Linked DNA regions of Tribolium castaneum. The protein of the gene in region 1 purifies or fractionates together with the protein of each later gene. This does not show direct contact. Links are inferred from orthologs where the notes say so. Each region holds a gene or a part of one and is shown on either strand. Other genes may lie near its edges.

Region 1 (7,500 bases):
CTGAAATACGTCGCTAAACAAAAGACTAGAATGGCCATTGGGAAGTAAACGTTGAAGCCGTCGGAGATTATTGAAATGACGTCCATATGACCCATGATCTGGCAAAAATTCGGTTAGTTGGACCGTGGGAGAAAAAATTAAGTGGCTAACTTGGGTGTAGTGGGTCTCCATGACTTGTTTTTTTATTATGTGGCTGTCCATGTGAATTAAGCCGAGGAAATTTAAACACAGAGGAGGCGTCAGTCGGCTCAACATCATCCCTGAGAAGATTAAACTGTACTCGTTCGTTTGGTGGTGCGGTGCTAAGTAATACAAGTTGAGGAGTTTTATTTTGAGGACCGTTGAGTAAGCACAGTAGCATAAGTACAGGATTATTATGGTCGACAATAACTGTAACAATTTTTTAATTTTTAAACAATTAGCAGTCTTTAAAATAGTAAAAAAATAGTTTTAAAAGCTACACCAAAAAAATATAGGGAGTTCCGCTTAAAAAATATAAGTTTGTCTTGTAGCTAATTTCGGAAATACTAATAATTTCTTGTACACAACACAAAAAAGAAAAATACAAAACGATACATAAAAAACAACAATACAAAAAAAAAGGACAGGGCACAGAAGGAAATGTTCAGAATGTTCTTCCACATTCCCATATGAAATGTTTGTAGCTTAAGTAATAATGTTATTGTCAAGAATAAATTAACGAAACATCGATAGAAAAATTGTTTTTTATTTGATCTGAACTGTCCCGAAAACAAACGATAGCAACAATTTAAGAAAATAATGTGACTCACCTCTATCGTAAAATAGTCGTACTTGACTTTAGCTCTGTTAACAATAGCGGCAAAAATCGAGAGAACTGGCTGTTTGTTGAAAAAAGTCACTTCGGACCAAACCACAGCCACCGAAAAAAGCCCAGCCATAACAGCCAATAATTTTTGCGTGTAGCCATAAAAAAGACACTTCCAGTACCACTCTTCAACAATTGAATAAAATACACAGCCGCGTCAAATGTGACACTCTTACCAACTGTCGGGACGTACAAAAACCTCCTGAAAAGAGATCGGGGTTTTTGGAATGTGCGTTTAAATCGCTTATCTCGCGAAATCTGATTTTTGATAGTGTCCTCAAGATCGAAAATCTTCTCGACGAGAAGGTTCCACTGTGTTTCGGTTCTCTGAAACACCTGGAGCGACTTTATCGTCTGAAAGAGTGCGGCAAGCGTTTAGTCTGCGGTCCGCCTATTTGTCAAGACCAGACTCACTTGCTTGTGGAGCCTGACTAGTGCCTTTTCGCTCGGTAAATCCGTGGGGGTGTCTTCGGGGAGCTGCCTCCGGTTCATTCTGTCCCGTAATTCCGTGGGCACCTTTTGCAGAATGGTCTCCAAGTGGGCGTGCAATGGATGCCGCGAATTAATGGCCAATGAGACGGCTTGTAGCGACTAAAACAATTGAATAACTATGGAAATTCAACGAATCAGTAATGGAACCTCGAGGACATCGTCGACGGTTTCCTCGGCCTCGCACTTGTCCGAACTCAGCTTGGCGGCCTTGAAATACGAATGTGTTAGCACAAAACTGTGGTTTGAGTTGTTCCACAGAGTTCGAGGGACTTCAACTAAAGCGTATCCGAACAGCAAAACTAGGAGGAATAAGCCCCAAGTATTGCTAGCTGACGAAGCAATTGCTTTTAGTTTTGACCAGTCGAGGTGAATCCCAGGCTGGAGGGCCAAGTAAATTAGTAGAACTCCACAGATTAGCAAATAAGAGCCGTAATAAATCGCATTGTCGATTACAGCCGATTTCAATTTGCCTTTGACTGTAAAATCACCAGCTTTGATGTACGATTGCATCATGGGCATGACTAGCCTGGAATTATTGTTTTAGTTGAAATTTTGTGTGTGAAAACTTATACCAAGTTAAGCACTGAGTGCTCCAATACACAGTACGCCACAAGTTCGGAAAAACCTCATGAGGGACTCGACTCCACGGCTCCTCACACTTTTCAATACTTTTATTTGTAACATTTTGCATCAGTGAAGAAGTGGCGTTGTCAAAAGTGTCATGTTCTTCCTTACACTGGCGGTAAACCGTCTAGGAACAAATCTGTGATTGACTGAAACTGACTATTGGTCACTCACCGAAATTACGTCCAACGGAAGCGCGAAAATAATCAAGAAACTGAAATACCAAGCAAGAAGCACAATCAAGGTCACCACAATGTGGTGCCTGAACCAGTTCCCATATCGGTACAAGACCGTCGAGGCAAGAATAAAAGAGAGCAAAATTTTCGAAATCAGCGGCCCGTAATTCATTTTTACTCGTCTTTGGGACTCTGCTGGGATTGCGATTTTTGGGCCTCTTGTTGCATTTTCTCCAATTTTTCCAAAGTGAAACTCTTAAGGGGGATCAGACGGGGTTTGCACAACACCAAGTCCTGGATGTCTTCAATGATGATTTGTCCTTTCTTAGGCAAAATCGGTTTTGGTTTTTCCACACTGGACATTGTCACTAAATGACATCACAACATAGTCATCAATATCGATCGTCCAAGTAATTAGAGATTTCCTGTGGCCGGAAAATTAATCCGCACGTGAAAATTCCGAAAATATTGAACCTTCACACACACACACACGAAACGTCACTTTGACAAGTGTCAGTTGGCAATGTGGCCAATATTGATTACTGGGTTATCACCAATAATTTGCGCCAATTTTCGCCCAAATCATCACATTTGACTTAATTATTAACTGGTATTGTGTGTCCGTGTCGAAATTGGGATTATTAGAATAGATATCAAAATTTTTCGTGAAATACACATGGGTTTGCGTTTCTCCGATTGGCGACAATTCGTCAAGGATGTCGGTATAGCCACCAACCATAGAATCCACCAACATTGCGCGATCTTCAGCTGACTTCACGCAAGTAAAAAAAAGTGGGGTTAATAACAACAAAAACATGTTAAATCACTTGAAACGGGTGATTTATCTCGAAAAATGCCCCCGTGGACGCTTCATGTCTGTAAAACGCAAATACCCCATCGATCGCGACGAGGCAAAATCACTGCCTGTCTTTGACTACGGTACTAGTAAAAAGTCGTACAAACGAGTGTTTGTTTGGGGCAACCTTATGTCGGGGGCCTTAGGTATTCCGTATTTGAGACGCAACGAAAATGTCATGCATCGGGAGACAGTAGACATCCCAAAGCGGCTAGGTTTTGCTGAAAAATTCCCAGTACGTTGTTCCCGCAAGTTTCAATATTTTAATGAAAGTTGCAGGTGACTACTGCCGCTTGTGGCTTCGGTTTCACCGCGTTTGGTGTTGATACCGAATCTGAAGATAAATTGTACGGAACGGGCCTTAATACCGACTCACAAATTGGAAGACATGAAGTGCGTCAAGGGCACCCTTTGGAGATTATTTACTTCCCGCAGGCCATTAAACTACCTTTAAAAAACCCAACCAAAACTCGGATACGAAAGTTAGCGGCGGGGCGTGCACATCTCGTGGTGTTAACAGACGAGGGACTCTTCCTCCTAGGCAATAACGCCTACGGCCAGTGCGGGCGCGAAATCATCCAAGACGAAAATTATTTTTTAAGTAATTACATAAACCACATTCCTGATATAGACAGTAAGAAAGTAACCGACATTGAATGTGGTCAAGACCACACTTTGGCCGTAACTGACGACGGGGCTGTGTATTCCTGCGGGTGGGGGGCTGACGGCCAAACGGGCCTCGGCACGTTTGACAACACAAGTGCCTTCACGAGAATCACGGGCGAGATTGAGTCCGAAAAAATAGTCAAAATATCGTCGCGATCCGACTTCGCGTTGGCCCTTAATGACAGGGGCGAAGTCTTCGGCTGGGGCAACGCTGAGTACGACCAGATCCCCACAATAAACAACGAGCAACAAGTGAGCAACCCAGTCCACCTCAAGCACCTGAAAGTGGGCAAAGTCGTGGATGTGGCAGCCGGGGGCTCATTTTGCCTCGCTTTGAACGAACACGGGGAGGTTTTCGTGTGGGGCTACGGTCTAGTCCTCGGGGGGCCCAAGGCCGAGCAAACCTCCCGCCCGAGGAAACTCCCCGAGGTTTTGTTCGGCAGGAACGACTTTCAACCTAACAACAGGGTGGTACAAGTGGCTTGTGGGTTGAGCTACGCCATGGCTGTGACGAGTCTGGGGGATGTTTACGCGTGGGGGCGCAACATGAGGGGCTGTCTGGGGCTGGGGTTCGCCAACGACCAGAACTTCCCGTTTAAAGTGGCGCTAGGGGGCTACGCGTCGAAGGTGTTTTGCGGGTATGACCACACGGTGGCACTTTGTAAACCTTTTATTTAATAAATTTAAGAGTAAAAAATAATTTCAATTTTATGCCTCCACGTCTGACCCGTTTTCGTCAAAAACGAAATTTTCGTTGGCTTTTCCATTGGGGTACCGTAACTGCACACTAGGCCGGGCTTGTGACACCCGATTTGGGGCTATGCTCATTCTTTGTTGGACGTAAGCAAGGCTTTTCTTCCTAAAGGCGCTAATGCTCGGGTCTAAAAAATAAATCAGTGATGGTTTCGCCCACAAATTGGTGACTTACTGTTGCTTGAAGTGCTCCCTATTTGAGTGACTCGCCTTTGGAACGCTTCATCCAAATAAAATATGGGCTTGTTCTCACCACCACCGCTCGTTTGCGCCAAATTACTTACTGTTTTTCGCATTTCGACCGGAACTTCCGTTTGGTCCTCGTATTCGTTGTTTATACCTTTTAGTTTTTGTAAATCTGCGACTATTTTTATAGGGTCGCGGGACCTGAGTTCGTCCACAGTCATTTCGTCGATTGGTTTGCTGCACAGATCGAAGTCTAATTGTGTTTTTGTGATGATTTGGGAGAAGGTGCCGAAGCGGTGGATCATCATTGCGAAGAACTGGATCACCATAAGCAGGGCGAAAAATATGAGGAACACGAAACCGATGGGCTCCAGCTGGAGGTATGTTATGTAAACGCCAATCTGAAAATTTTGATCAGTAATGTGCGAATTTATTATTAAAAATTCTGAAGCAATGTACATTACATTGTCATCTAAAAACTGAAAACGCTCCAACCCTGAAAATATTACATTTTGTCGCGAAATATTTTAAAATGAACATTATGTGGCTATTGTGACTTACATATTTGAGGCAAGAGGCAAATACATATAAAAAATAATAATAAACAGATACGGTTTCTATGAAACTTCCTATGTTATCTCCTTTATCAATTAAAATTTATATGATGGGCCATATGAATAAAGATGAAGTACTTACTTGGAGAAAAAAGTAGAAGCTTTAATTAGCATGAATAATAAATTCTTGCTTTTACTTCGGAGTAAAGCTTTAGTTTTTTGGAGAATATGGTTTAAAAATAAATCAATGTAGTAAAGTTTTCAATGCGATAATTTTTTAAAGGGATGTTATTTCTTTCAATTAAAATTGTTTCTACGAGTAACATGTGAAATGTGTCGTATAATCTGCCCTCTTCGAAAGATATTATTTAAGTTTAGGCTGTTTTTCAATATTATTTTTGTTGTCATTTTTACATCGAATACTTTCCAGTGTTATATAAAACAAAGTAGCAAATAATTATTTAATGAATTTCCTATTTAGATCTTTTTCGGATGTTGACTTTTGGGAAAGCACTAAAACCCTGTTTTTTCATGTGCCCAATTTTTGATGGTCTACAGATATTTGGGTACTTCTGGAGTGAATAAAAATTAATGCTTTTTGAAGGGTTTTAGACCTTTCTTTAATGAATGAAAACTTTCTTTATGAATTATTAAAATTCACGTAATAACTGTAGAGCGGAAACAACTTCAATAATGGTGTATTCTATCTCATTTAACAAAAACCAAACAGTGCGCTTACCTCATTTTTGTCCTCGAAATACGTGAAGTTCACTTTGGGGTCAAACGGCCAGTCCAGATGGAGCAAATCCTTCTTCAAAGTGAGCAAAAAAATCACAATAACGTAGAGCGAATTCAACATCAGGAAAGTAAACACCATTTTGTCCCTCAAATCTTTCAATTCAGCCGAAACCTTCTTCTTGTCATCCTCAATCGGGTGTAAATACTGCTCTATCAGTTCATTCCAAAACGTTTCCTCATTCCTATTCAAGTAATGCACTTCCCCCCTAATCAAAGGCCCATCGTAGAACCAACTATTCTCCATGACCTCATCCGACGGTTGCGAAACATTGTCTTGCGGAGCCTCCATGTAGTTATCCTCCACGTTGTTCTTAACCGTCGCCTTTGAGCCCTCCATGAACGTTGTAACGTTGCTAACGGCAGGAGACCTCAAATCCGGATATTGCATTTTTTCCAGCGACTCGATTTTCCTATTCAAGTCTCTCAACGACTCTTGTATTTTCCTCAACTGCTCGTTTTCCTTGTTATCGGCCTTGTACGTACAAATCATGCATTTGAAAAGTTTGTTGACCGAAAATTCAAGCCCGCCTTCGTCGTCCTGGGCATTCGCGCCCAGAAACGTCAAAACTTTGTCTTTCTTCTCCGGTTTTTTCTCTTCGATTTTCTGGACGGCGTTGGGGTCAGGCTTGGGCACGACTGTCACTTCGCGCGTCCCCCAGGACACGTTGTTCATATTGAAGACCGAGTAGATGACTAGGAGGAGGTACATGCTGGGGACCGTGACGTAGTAAATGACCCCGTATTTCAAACAGTTGAATTCTTGCGGATGCAGCAGTGCTGCGATTATAAATTCAGCAGCCATGCAGAAGAAGAAAAGGGAGGAAGGCGCAAGTGGGCCGTCTTGGCTGATTTGGAGCATCACACCGACGAAAACAGCCATCATTATCAGGCCGTAAATGGCGCTGATAAGGCCGGCGAAAAATAATTGGATATCGGAGCTACAAGTGGCACATACTAGGATAAAAACTGCGATTGGTAGTAAATTCCAGTAGAAACTGCTCCATTGGTCGAGCCCAAAGGCAGCCACGAAGGCGCCGACCAACATGAGGAAAATAGTACCGGGGCCAATGACCGTACCGATCATTAAAATAATTTGGTACCCGATGTACAGCATGGAAATATTTTCGTTGATTTTGACCGTGTGCTCGTAATCCATCAAAAGGTCCAAAATGTTGGCCATAGTGGACGGCATCCAGCGCCTCCGCTGGTTGTAAAACTCGTTGAAGCCTTCCGGACAGTGCGTGAAAGCGTCCGAGGCTGCGGAGTATTCCACACGGTAGCCCCTCTGGAGTAACAAAGTGCACAACCACCGGTCCTCCCCTTGATCGTACTGCACGTAGTGCTTGGCTTGGGTCGATCGAGTGGTGTACTTCTTCATGACGCTTTTGTCCATGAGGGCTTTTCCCCGGAACAGGGAGAAACAGCCGGGGCTGCAGAGGACGCAGCCTATGACGTGCTCGGTGGCTTTTTGCATCCAGTGACCGACGGCGTATTCGAACATTTGGTACCAGACCATGCCGCCGCTGCCGATGGGGTGGATGCGGCCGC
Region 2 (8,007 bases), on another chromosome or scaffold:
AAAAAAATTATAAAAAAATATTATTAATTAATTAATTAATTAATTGTACAATTTCAATAGTGTATTTCTGAATCAACAGAGCTTAAATGATGTTTTAAATAAAAATTTTAATAAAATAGTTGCTACCCTCAAAATTTCGATTAATTAAATTTTAACATTTTTTACTTTATTAACATTAATATTTTTTAAATAATTAAGGGCCAATTTAATAATCGAATTTAAAAGAGCATTAAATCAAAACTTGTTTAGAATGTGAAATGTTTCTCAGCAAATCCGTAGTAACTAGCTCATCATAAACAACATTTAATTTAATGCTTCTTTAAATTCCTTTAGATTTTGTTACAAAAATTAAAATTTTTTTTGGAATACTTATTCAATATTTTCGTTAACATCATAATAATTCCACGTCAGTTTGTTAATTGTTTTTTTTAACATTCACAAATTGATTAATTACATAAAGTCGCCAAATTTCTCCCAGAGTATTTTCAAGTTTACGAGGCGATAATGATTTATTGCTGGCAACGGTTGCGGCCAGAGGGACGACAGAAATAGCAGGGGTTCGTTTTCTGGAGACGACATCTTCAGATCGTTTAGCATATTATGTCAAACTTTTGTATGATTTTTTTTTGTATTTAATATTGCTTTAAAAAAATGGTTGAGGCCCTATTCTCAATTACAATTACCAACGATCATGCTAAATTTATAGTTATTTTCTTTTCGATATGAATTAATTACAGTAATGCAAAACTTTTTCCCCCAGGTTATGCCATCCCGCACGCAATCTTGCGGATGGACCTCGCCGGACGCGACCTAACCGATTACTTGATGAAAATCCTAACCGAACGCGGTTACAGTTTCACGACGACCGCAGAGCGCGAAATAATCCGCGATTTGAAGGAGAAAATCTGCTTCGTAGCTTTGGATTTTGAACGAGACCTCGCACTCGCGAGAACTATGAACAATTTTGAGAAAAGTTACGAATTGCCAGATGGACAAATCATAACAATCGGGAATGAACGTTTCCGGTGCCCGGAAGCTATGTTTCAACCGACTTTTCTGGGAATGGAAACAACAGGAATTCACGAAACCACTTATAATTCGATTATGAGGTCTGACATGGATATAAGGAAGGATCTTTATGCTAATATTGTGCTCTCTGGAGGAAGTACAATGTTTTTGGGGATGGCCGATAGGATTCAGAAGGAGATAGCTGCCCTAGCGCCGGCTTCAATGAAAATTAAAATTATCGCACCGCCTGAGAGAAAATATTCGGTTTGGATTGGGGGAAGTATTCTGGCGAGTCTGACGACGTTTCAACAAATGTGGATCTCGAAGGATGAATATGATGAGTGCGGACCTGTTATCGTTCATCGAAAGTGCTTCTAATGTATAATGAAAAAAAATTATTTATCAAAACTAGAATACAATACTTTTGTTAATAAACGACAAATCATTTTGTAAAAAATGGTGCTGTGTAAACATCAATAAATATCGTAAAATGTTCAAAGTATTTTTAACCCGTCCAACATAAAATATTAAAACCCAACACAAAAAAGTTGCTCAATTAAAATTAAAAAATTAATGTTTTCATATTATATATTATTATTATGTTATATTATGGTATATTTATACTATAATACTATAATATAAAACTTTGGTGACTTTTATGTAGGATAAAATCATATCTTACTGCTTTGGATATTTTATTTTTTGACAAAACAAACAAATTTAACGTAAAATAAATGATTTTTACAGAAGACAATTGAATAAACTACTGTAAAGCTGCCGACTTTTGTCTGATAATATTTTCGTGTTCATCCATAATCTGTATACATTGTTCCATGTTTGTAATAATGTCCTGCAAAGTCCAGTGTTTGCGCAAAAGTGCATTTTCTACAGTAAAATAACTATGTCTGATGCACTGAATTGCCGTACAATGCGCTGAAGAATGTAATTTCATCCCAATTTCATGTATTAAACTTCTCAGGTAAGTTTCATATTCATTTATGCATTGTATTTCTACGAGAAGTATTAATTTATTTTAGCTTTAGTAATTAGCCTCCCTGAGGGATAAGGAAAATTGCTAACTTCACGTGGTGTAGTTACAGTTCATTTTTTTATAATCAACTGTGATGTAATTCATGAAAAGTTTTGAGCATGGCCTCCTTGATGTATGGAGACAACTTCGTTGTTCAGGCCTGGCGCATCAATAAGCTTCAGCGGTTTTTTCGAAACCGTAGATGGCGCCCTATTTAGCGCACTGACGTTTATCTGACAAATAGCATTTGTGAGGTTAAATCCGAAAAAAAATTGAATTTAACAAGTACAATTAGCAGAAGAGAAGGTGAAAAAGAGCCCACAATGTAATTGATAATTTCTAAGTACAAAAACTCAAAAAAATTAATAAAGTAGTAGATTTTTTTCGGGAGTTTGGTGATCCACGAGCGGTGCGTGGGAGTGAGCAGAGGTCCAGACAGGGACTTTGGAACGAACGGTTCATAGACACTCCAGCAGAGAGTAACGCAGCAGAAGAACGCTGGATCGAGCTTTTTTTAACCATTTTATTTGAAAAAACGATTTTCTTTGTACATTTTACTAAAACTAAATTAACAATAGCAGGTTTTGAAAATACGTGTGTGCAAAATAGTTTCATTTGCTTAAACAATGTATTGCAAATATCTGCTGGTTAAAAGGTTGCAAATACATTTTAGAAAACTTAAGCCATGTCTTAAATATCACAGATTTGTAACGCATTCAACCTTAACCATTGGTAAAACCATAGAATATGCATAATAAATGGAAGGTACTTTGAAACATCGTTTTCTCTGCATCTGTGTCTGCGTACTAGTGCCGTAGGTTATGCTTAAAATACTTATAAACGATGAACAATCAATTCACCCTAAAATAATTTGTATATCTTCTGAAGCTGAAAATAAAAAATCCTAATGATCGTAAAATGACTTCCTGCAAGAGTTACACTATCCAAACGTTCATTCAGGGCATAACTTTAGAATTATCCTCACATTTTCAACGTATTTCACGAATGCATACTTACATCTTTCAAATTTATTTGTCTTTAACCTCAAAAATGATATTTGTCAAACAAGCGTCAGTCCGCTAAATGCAGCGCCAGTGGAGAATCAGCCGAACTTAACGATGCGCCAGGCCTGAACAACGAAGTTGTCTCAATACATCAAGGAGGCCATGGTTTTGAGATTTTTAAATTGAAAATGGCACCAACCTTTATTCAAAAACCTGATGGTTCTTTAACAGTTGATTATAAAAAAATGTTATAATTTTAAAACCTTTGAACCATCAAGGAGGCTGATTGTATCTCTTACCAATGACGAACTCTGGGGGTTCAAATTTAACACATTTAATTCCGTAAATGACTGGAAGTTTTGAGTTGGCAGGCCTGATGGGTCCCTGACAAGCCAATTTATAGGCCTCCTCTGATTGCAAATCAATGCCACATGACCTAGTTTAGTTAAATGAAAGAAATGCTGCTCATTCTCAATCAATAAACATACTTAAACATTTCTTTTTGGTGTGAAGCTTGAAGTGTTGCTAAAAACCTATTCATATTTTCTAGTTTAACGTGTCTCCAGGTTGTCCTTTCCACAACTTTCCCGTCCTTAAAGGCGTTATCGGTCGCTTCGCCCAATTTTCCGGACAATCGGTAACACCTAGTGGGTCTGTTCTCTCTTATCAATTTCGCTACTTTGGTGCCTTTCCCTAATCCTAACACTAAAATAAACAGTTAATTTATTTATCACTTGTGTCTTTAACATATTACAAAGCACTCCGCTCGTATTAAAACCTAAAAAATTCGACCAACTACATTTTAAATCATCGTGGATGTAACGAGGTCCCACAACAAGAGGGTCATCGGCGAGACTTGGTTTTACAGATACGGTTAATTTTCCCGATGGATTTCCTTCAATACAAACGAAATCAACTGGAGGGCGACACTCCATCTCATTTAAACCTATAATTCTGTGCAAAATTATCGGAATAAGGGGGCTAGCTTAACCTAACCTTTACAAACAGCGGCAATGATAGTTTTGCGTACGCGTTCACATGTTACACTAGGAGGCTTGTAAACACAAATAATGGACCGGAGACCCTCCCAAATCACGGGGGCGTCTTTTATTAACATTTTTATGTTTACGTAAAAGTTAGGTTAGTATTTAAAATAACTATGGTGCTGCCACCTCGCGTCAAAGAAGTGTAAGGCCGTGATGTGTAATTTTTCCGACCGCGTCTGAGGTTCAATCCCTGGTCAGGACCATTTTTTTTTCTTGAGGGCATAAGCAAAATGATTCGAAAAAATTGTGTATATTTAAATACAGTGACTGATACACAAATAAGTACAACTAATACATTTATTTATTTAACGCGCTTCAACTAAAAATATATGATTCATTATTTGTAAATTAATATCATTATCAGGAAATCTATGGACATAACAATTCCGATATCACAATATTACATTACTTAAAAATTAAAATTCGCAACCTAAAACCCTAATATGGAGTCCTAAATTGGTATTACGGCGCCTAGTAATCTACTCCAAAAGTAAGCTTACAACCTAAATAAATACTTTACAAACTGTCATGTAATGAGATTGTTTCAATTTACAAATAACCTGTATGTATTCATAAAATCACATTTTCGTTCATTCCACCACTTCATAATTTATTTTTATTTACAAAAACATCAGGCAGTGGTGCTTGACTAAAATTTTATTTCGGTTGTTGACATAATACTTATCTCTTTGAGTTTTTCTTTCTCACTGTTGTTCGTTTTGTTGACCCTCTCTTATTCGTGATTAGCGCAGGGTTAGCCAACCATGGCAAACTAAATTCACTAAAAAAACAAAGTCGAGAAAAATTCAGTGTGATCAGGTCATAGGTACCTGGGGGCTATTTTGGGAATAGGTGAGCCAAAGGCCGCCACTGGCAGCTGATCAGAGACTTCCAGATATTTAATGTTGTCTAAAGTGGGCCAAAGAGACAGCACGGACTCGATTTGTTCATCCGTCCGAGACCCCGAACCCATTCTTTCCTGTCTCTGCTTCAATTTTTCTATTACCCGCTGTTCTCTTATCCTTTGAACGTCCCATCGCTTTCTCCTACGTTCGTCGTTTTCCAACCGACTGTGTCTTTTGTTGTAGACTTCATCGTCTAAATTTTCAGTCCCTTCCATTGCGTAACAACTAGCGTACACTTTAACCCTCCAGCGGGGCACCTACAACACTTTCAAATTTAAAAAGACTGAAATTTTGACCTGATTATTACCTCCAAATTCGTATTGTTTGGAATTTCTTGCATGTCTGTAACGTTCGACAGCCTCAAATTTGTTCGACCGGCTTCAGTAATGTACTGATCGGTTGTGGTCAAAATTTGAGAATCTTTCAGAATACCTGAAACGTTTTTGCTTAATTCGATTCAATCACATTTTCTGTGATCAATGAAAGAAGTTTCGTTTTTTTAAGACGTTCTTCTGTTACCAAATTAAACCACTCTGTTTTAAAAATCACGTACCCATGGCCAAAAGTGCCATTTAGACACATTTATAAAATACATCCATAAAATAAAACTCAGTTACTGAAACGCTATTTTACACATTTATTTAATTAATAAATAACTAAAATTACTTATTTTTTAAGCTTTTAACTCTGACTAGAATGGTGCCATCTAGTGATGGTTGTTATATTTTTGAGGTCTGATTCACGCCTCAAATAAATATATATATATATATATATACAGGATGATTCAAAAGCATCGGACAATCTCTCGGGTGCTGATAAAAGACATCAAACTGAATTAAAAGTTCCTATGACAAAAAATTCTGTTCTCAGTTTTTCTATCTTTCCATCAACTGAAAGTTTACAAGATAAAGTCAGGTCAGGTCAATTCGGTTCGGGTAGGGTCAGGTTTTATTATTTTAAAATTTATCCAGTTTTATAAAAGCTATATAATTTTTGGTCACTTTATTAATTTACATTTATTTAGTCTAAATCAAATTAAAATTCAAGTGCTTAAAACGCTTTAGATTTTTTACTTTTTCAATTTCGGAATTCTCACTTAGAAAACAGAAGAAATTTTATAATAAAAAAGCGATTGCAATAATTTAAAAACAAGTAGGAACCTCCTTTAGAATTTGTTCATTATATTAAACTGTTAGTTGATTGCTTTGCGGAAAGTACTACTACTTTTATTATTAAAAAAGATAATAACATTATAATAAAATGTAATAATTGTAATTAACAGTTCTACGTTTTTCGCCACATTATTTTAAATTACGCACCCAAATATACAAAACAGATACGATTTAAATGGATTAAAGTAGAGTAAATACAATAACGAAGCAAAAAAAAATATATTGTGAGAAATTAAAAAATCATTTAAAAAATCTGTACTATTTCAGCAAAAAACTGAAAGCAAATCTGGATTCAGAACGTTTAAATCTTCATTTTCATACTAATCTTATTTAAAGGAAGATTTCGTTGCACACTAATGCTATTAATGTTAATTAATTTCGTCTTATAAAGTGTAAGTTACCATACAAGAATGTAAATAACTCTTCAACAGTTATTTTCTGGTTATCTTCGGTAGGACGCAACATTTATTGGGTTGGTATCGCTACCCTTGCTGACACTGAAACGATGATTTTTTAACGATGAGTAACAGAAATTTAAATTTTACTAGTTTAACCTGTTTTTGAGTTATTGGTTACAAAAAATATTGTAGGTAACTCATTTAGAAAGCAATTTTCTACATTTGTAATTCATGCAGCACTCCTTGCGTTTGTGCTGCAAACAAACTGCTCACGGGATACACTGTATCCATAAATACTTGATAATCAAGAAAAAAAATCTGCGAATTAAGCCAAAGGGGTGATTTTTGGGTCGAATGAGGCAAGAAAAGCATAAAAAAACTGTAAACTTCATTAAATATTTCATAATGTCAGGACGTCAGAATTGCTTTCCCCTAACGTGGCTCCCTCCTGAGGTAAAGCAAAACTCCTTTCATCGATCAAGCCCCGGATGATACTAACGTTTGTGCCGTTTTTTGAATTTCCGAAAGGACCTTTTGTCGTCTAACACTGAGTCGTTATTTGAGACCGCTGACGAATTACTTAACCGTTTCCTCCTAATACTCATTCTTAAATTTCTCATTGGGTCGAATTCCCCCGAATTAACCGTAAAGTCAAAGCCGGCACTAGCACTGTTACAATCTGTTACGATTTCACTCTCACTTTTCAATTTGTCACTAATTTTATGATAGTTAACCTGAGAATCAAACTTATTGTCTATGGAAGGATTTCCGGTTTGAGATTCGCCGTCGCTGTTTTGTTCGAATTTGGCAAGTTTGAGCGGCGGACAGGTGCCGTTCTCACAGTTCAAGTCCAAAAGGTCCAAACAATTTTTGTTGTCTTCGTCGCAGGGACTCGAATCCTGAGTCATATCTAGCCCTTCGTCCAGAAACGACGTGGAGTGGTTATTGTAGAACTTGTTGGGGTGGAACGGGGCCCCGCGTTCCATACAACTTATGCGCTCCTTAAGCTGCGACCAAATCTGTTAAATGCGAAACGATTCGGCCAAACTTACCATTTCATTCTCTTGTTGCAGAATGAGGATTGTTCTCTCCTTGTTTAGAATTTCATCGCTTTGTTGCTGGATGAGGTCGAGATGGAGAATCAGCCAGTCTTTCCAAAACTTAACCTCACTTTCGGCGCTTTGACAGTTCGCATCTTGGGTTGTGTTTATTTCGCCATTTTCCGTGTTTGACGCGTACATATGATCATAGGCGAAATTCAAGTCGGATTTGTCGACACTTTGCGCTAAATAACTCGTAGAATCCGGTAATTTTGACAATTTCGACTTGCATTCGTCTGGAAAATTTTCGGACATCTTCGCGCAAAGTCGTTTTATGTTTTGGTCATTGTTGCGACTTATTGGCATAATTAATTACATAAACATTATCGAAATTACGCGAGACT

Evidence for each region.
Region 2: the proteins of RCC1-like G exchanging factor-like protein (region 1) and pseudouridylate synthase TRUB2, mitochondrial purify together in Homo sapiens (affinity purification with mass spectrometry; 3 studies listed by BioGRID and IntAct, with this or other methods). This does not show direct contact. The link is inferred for Tribolium castaneum from reciprocal best matches to the Homo sapiens genes RCC1L and TRUB2.

What each region holds. Positions count from the first base shown.
Region 1 is NC_087395.1:14,161,758-14,169,257, forward strand, and holds RCC1-like G exchanging factor-like protein, read left to right. Parts: upstream 1-2,722; 5' UTR 2,723-2,954; coding exon 2,955-3,230; intron 3,231-3,274; coding exon 3,275-4,339; 3' UTR 4,340-4,361; downstream 4,362-7,500. Other genes in the region: LMBR1 domain-containing protein 2 homolog, read right to left, coding at 1-98, 151-390, 792-973, 1,024-1,201, 1,262-1,438, 1,487-1,865, 1,912-2,090, 2,138-2,311; BBIP1 (BBSome-interacting protein 1-like), read right to left, coding at 2,314-2,502; Chs2 (chitin synthase 2), read right to left, coding at 4,370-4,542, 4,590-5,001, 5,894-7,500. UniProt on the Homo sapiens protein: Guanine nucleotide exchange factor (GEF) for mitochondrial dynamin-related GTPase OPA1. Activates OPA1, by exchanging bound GDP for free GTP, and drives OPA1 and MFN1-dependent mitochondrial fusion. Plays an essential role in mitochondrial ribosome biogenesis.
Region 2 is NC_087398.1:10,489,949-10,497,955, forward strand, and holds pseudouridylate synthase TRUB2, mitochondrial, read right to left. Parts: upstream 4,228-8,007; 5' UTR 4,160-4,227; coding exon 4,039-4,159; intron 3,989-4,038; coding exon 3,797-3,988; intron 3,748-3,796; coding exon 3,531-3,747; intron 3,479-3,530; coding exon 3,342-3,478; intron 2,020-3,341; coding exon 1,772-2,019; 3' UTR 1,687-1,771; downstream 1-1,686. Other genes in the region: actin, cytoplasmic, read left to right, coding at 761-1,386; male-specific lethal 1 homolog, read right to left, coding at 4,770-4,869, 4,919-5,250, 5,301-5,425, 7,063-7,570, 7,616-7,969. UniProt on the Homo sapiens protein: Minor enzyme contributing to the isomerization of uridine to pseudouridine (pseudouridylation) of specific mitochondrial mRNAs (mt-mRNAs) such as COXI and COXIII mt-mRNAs.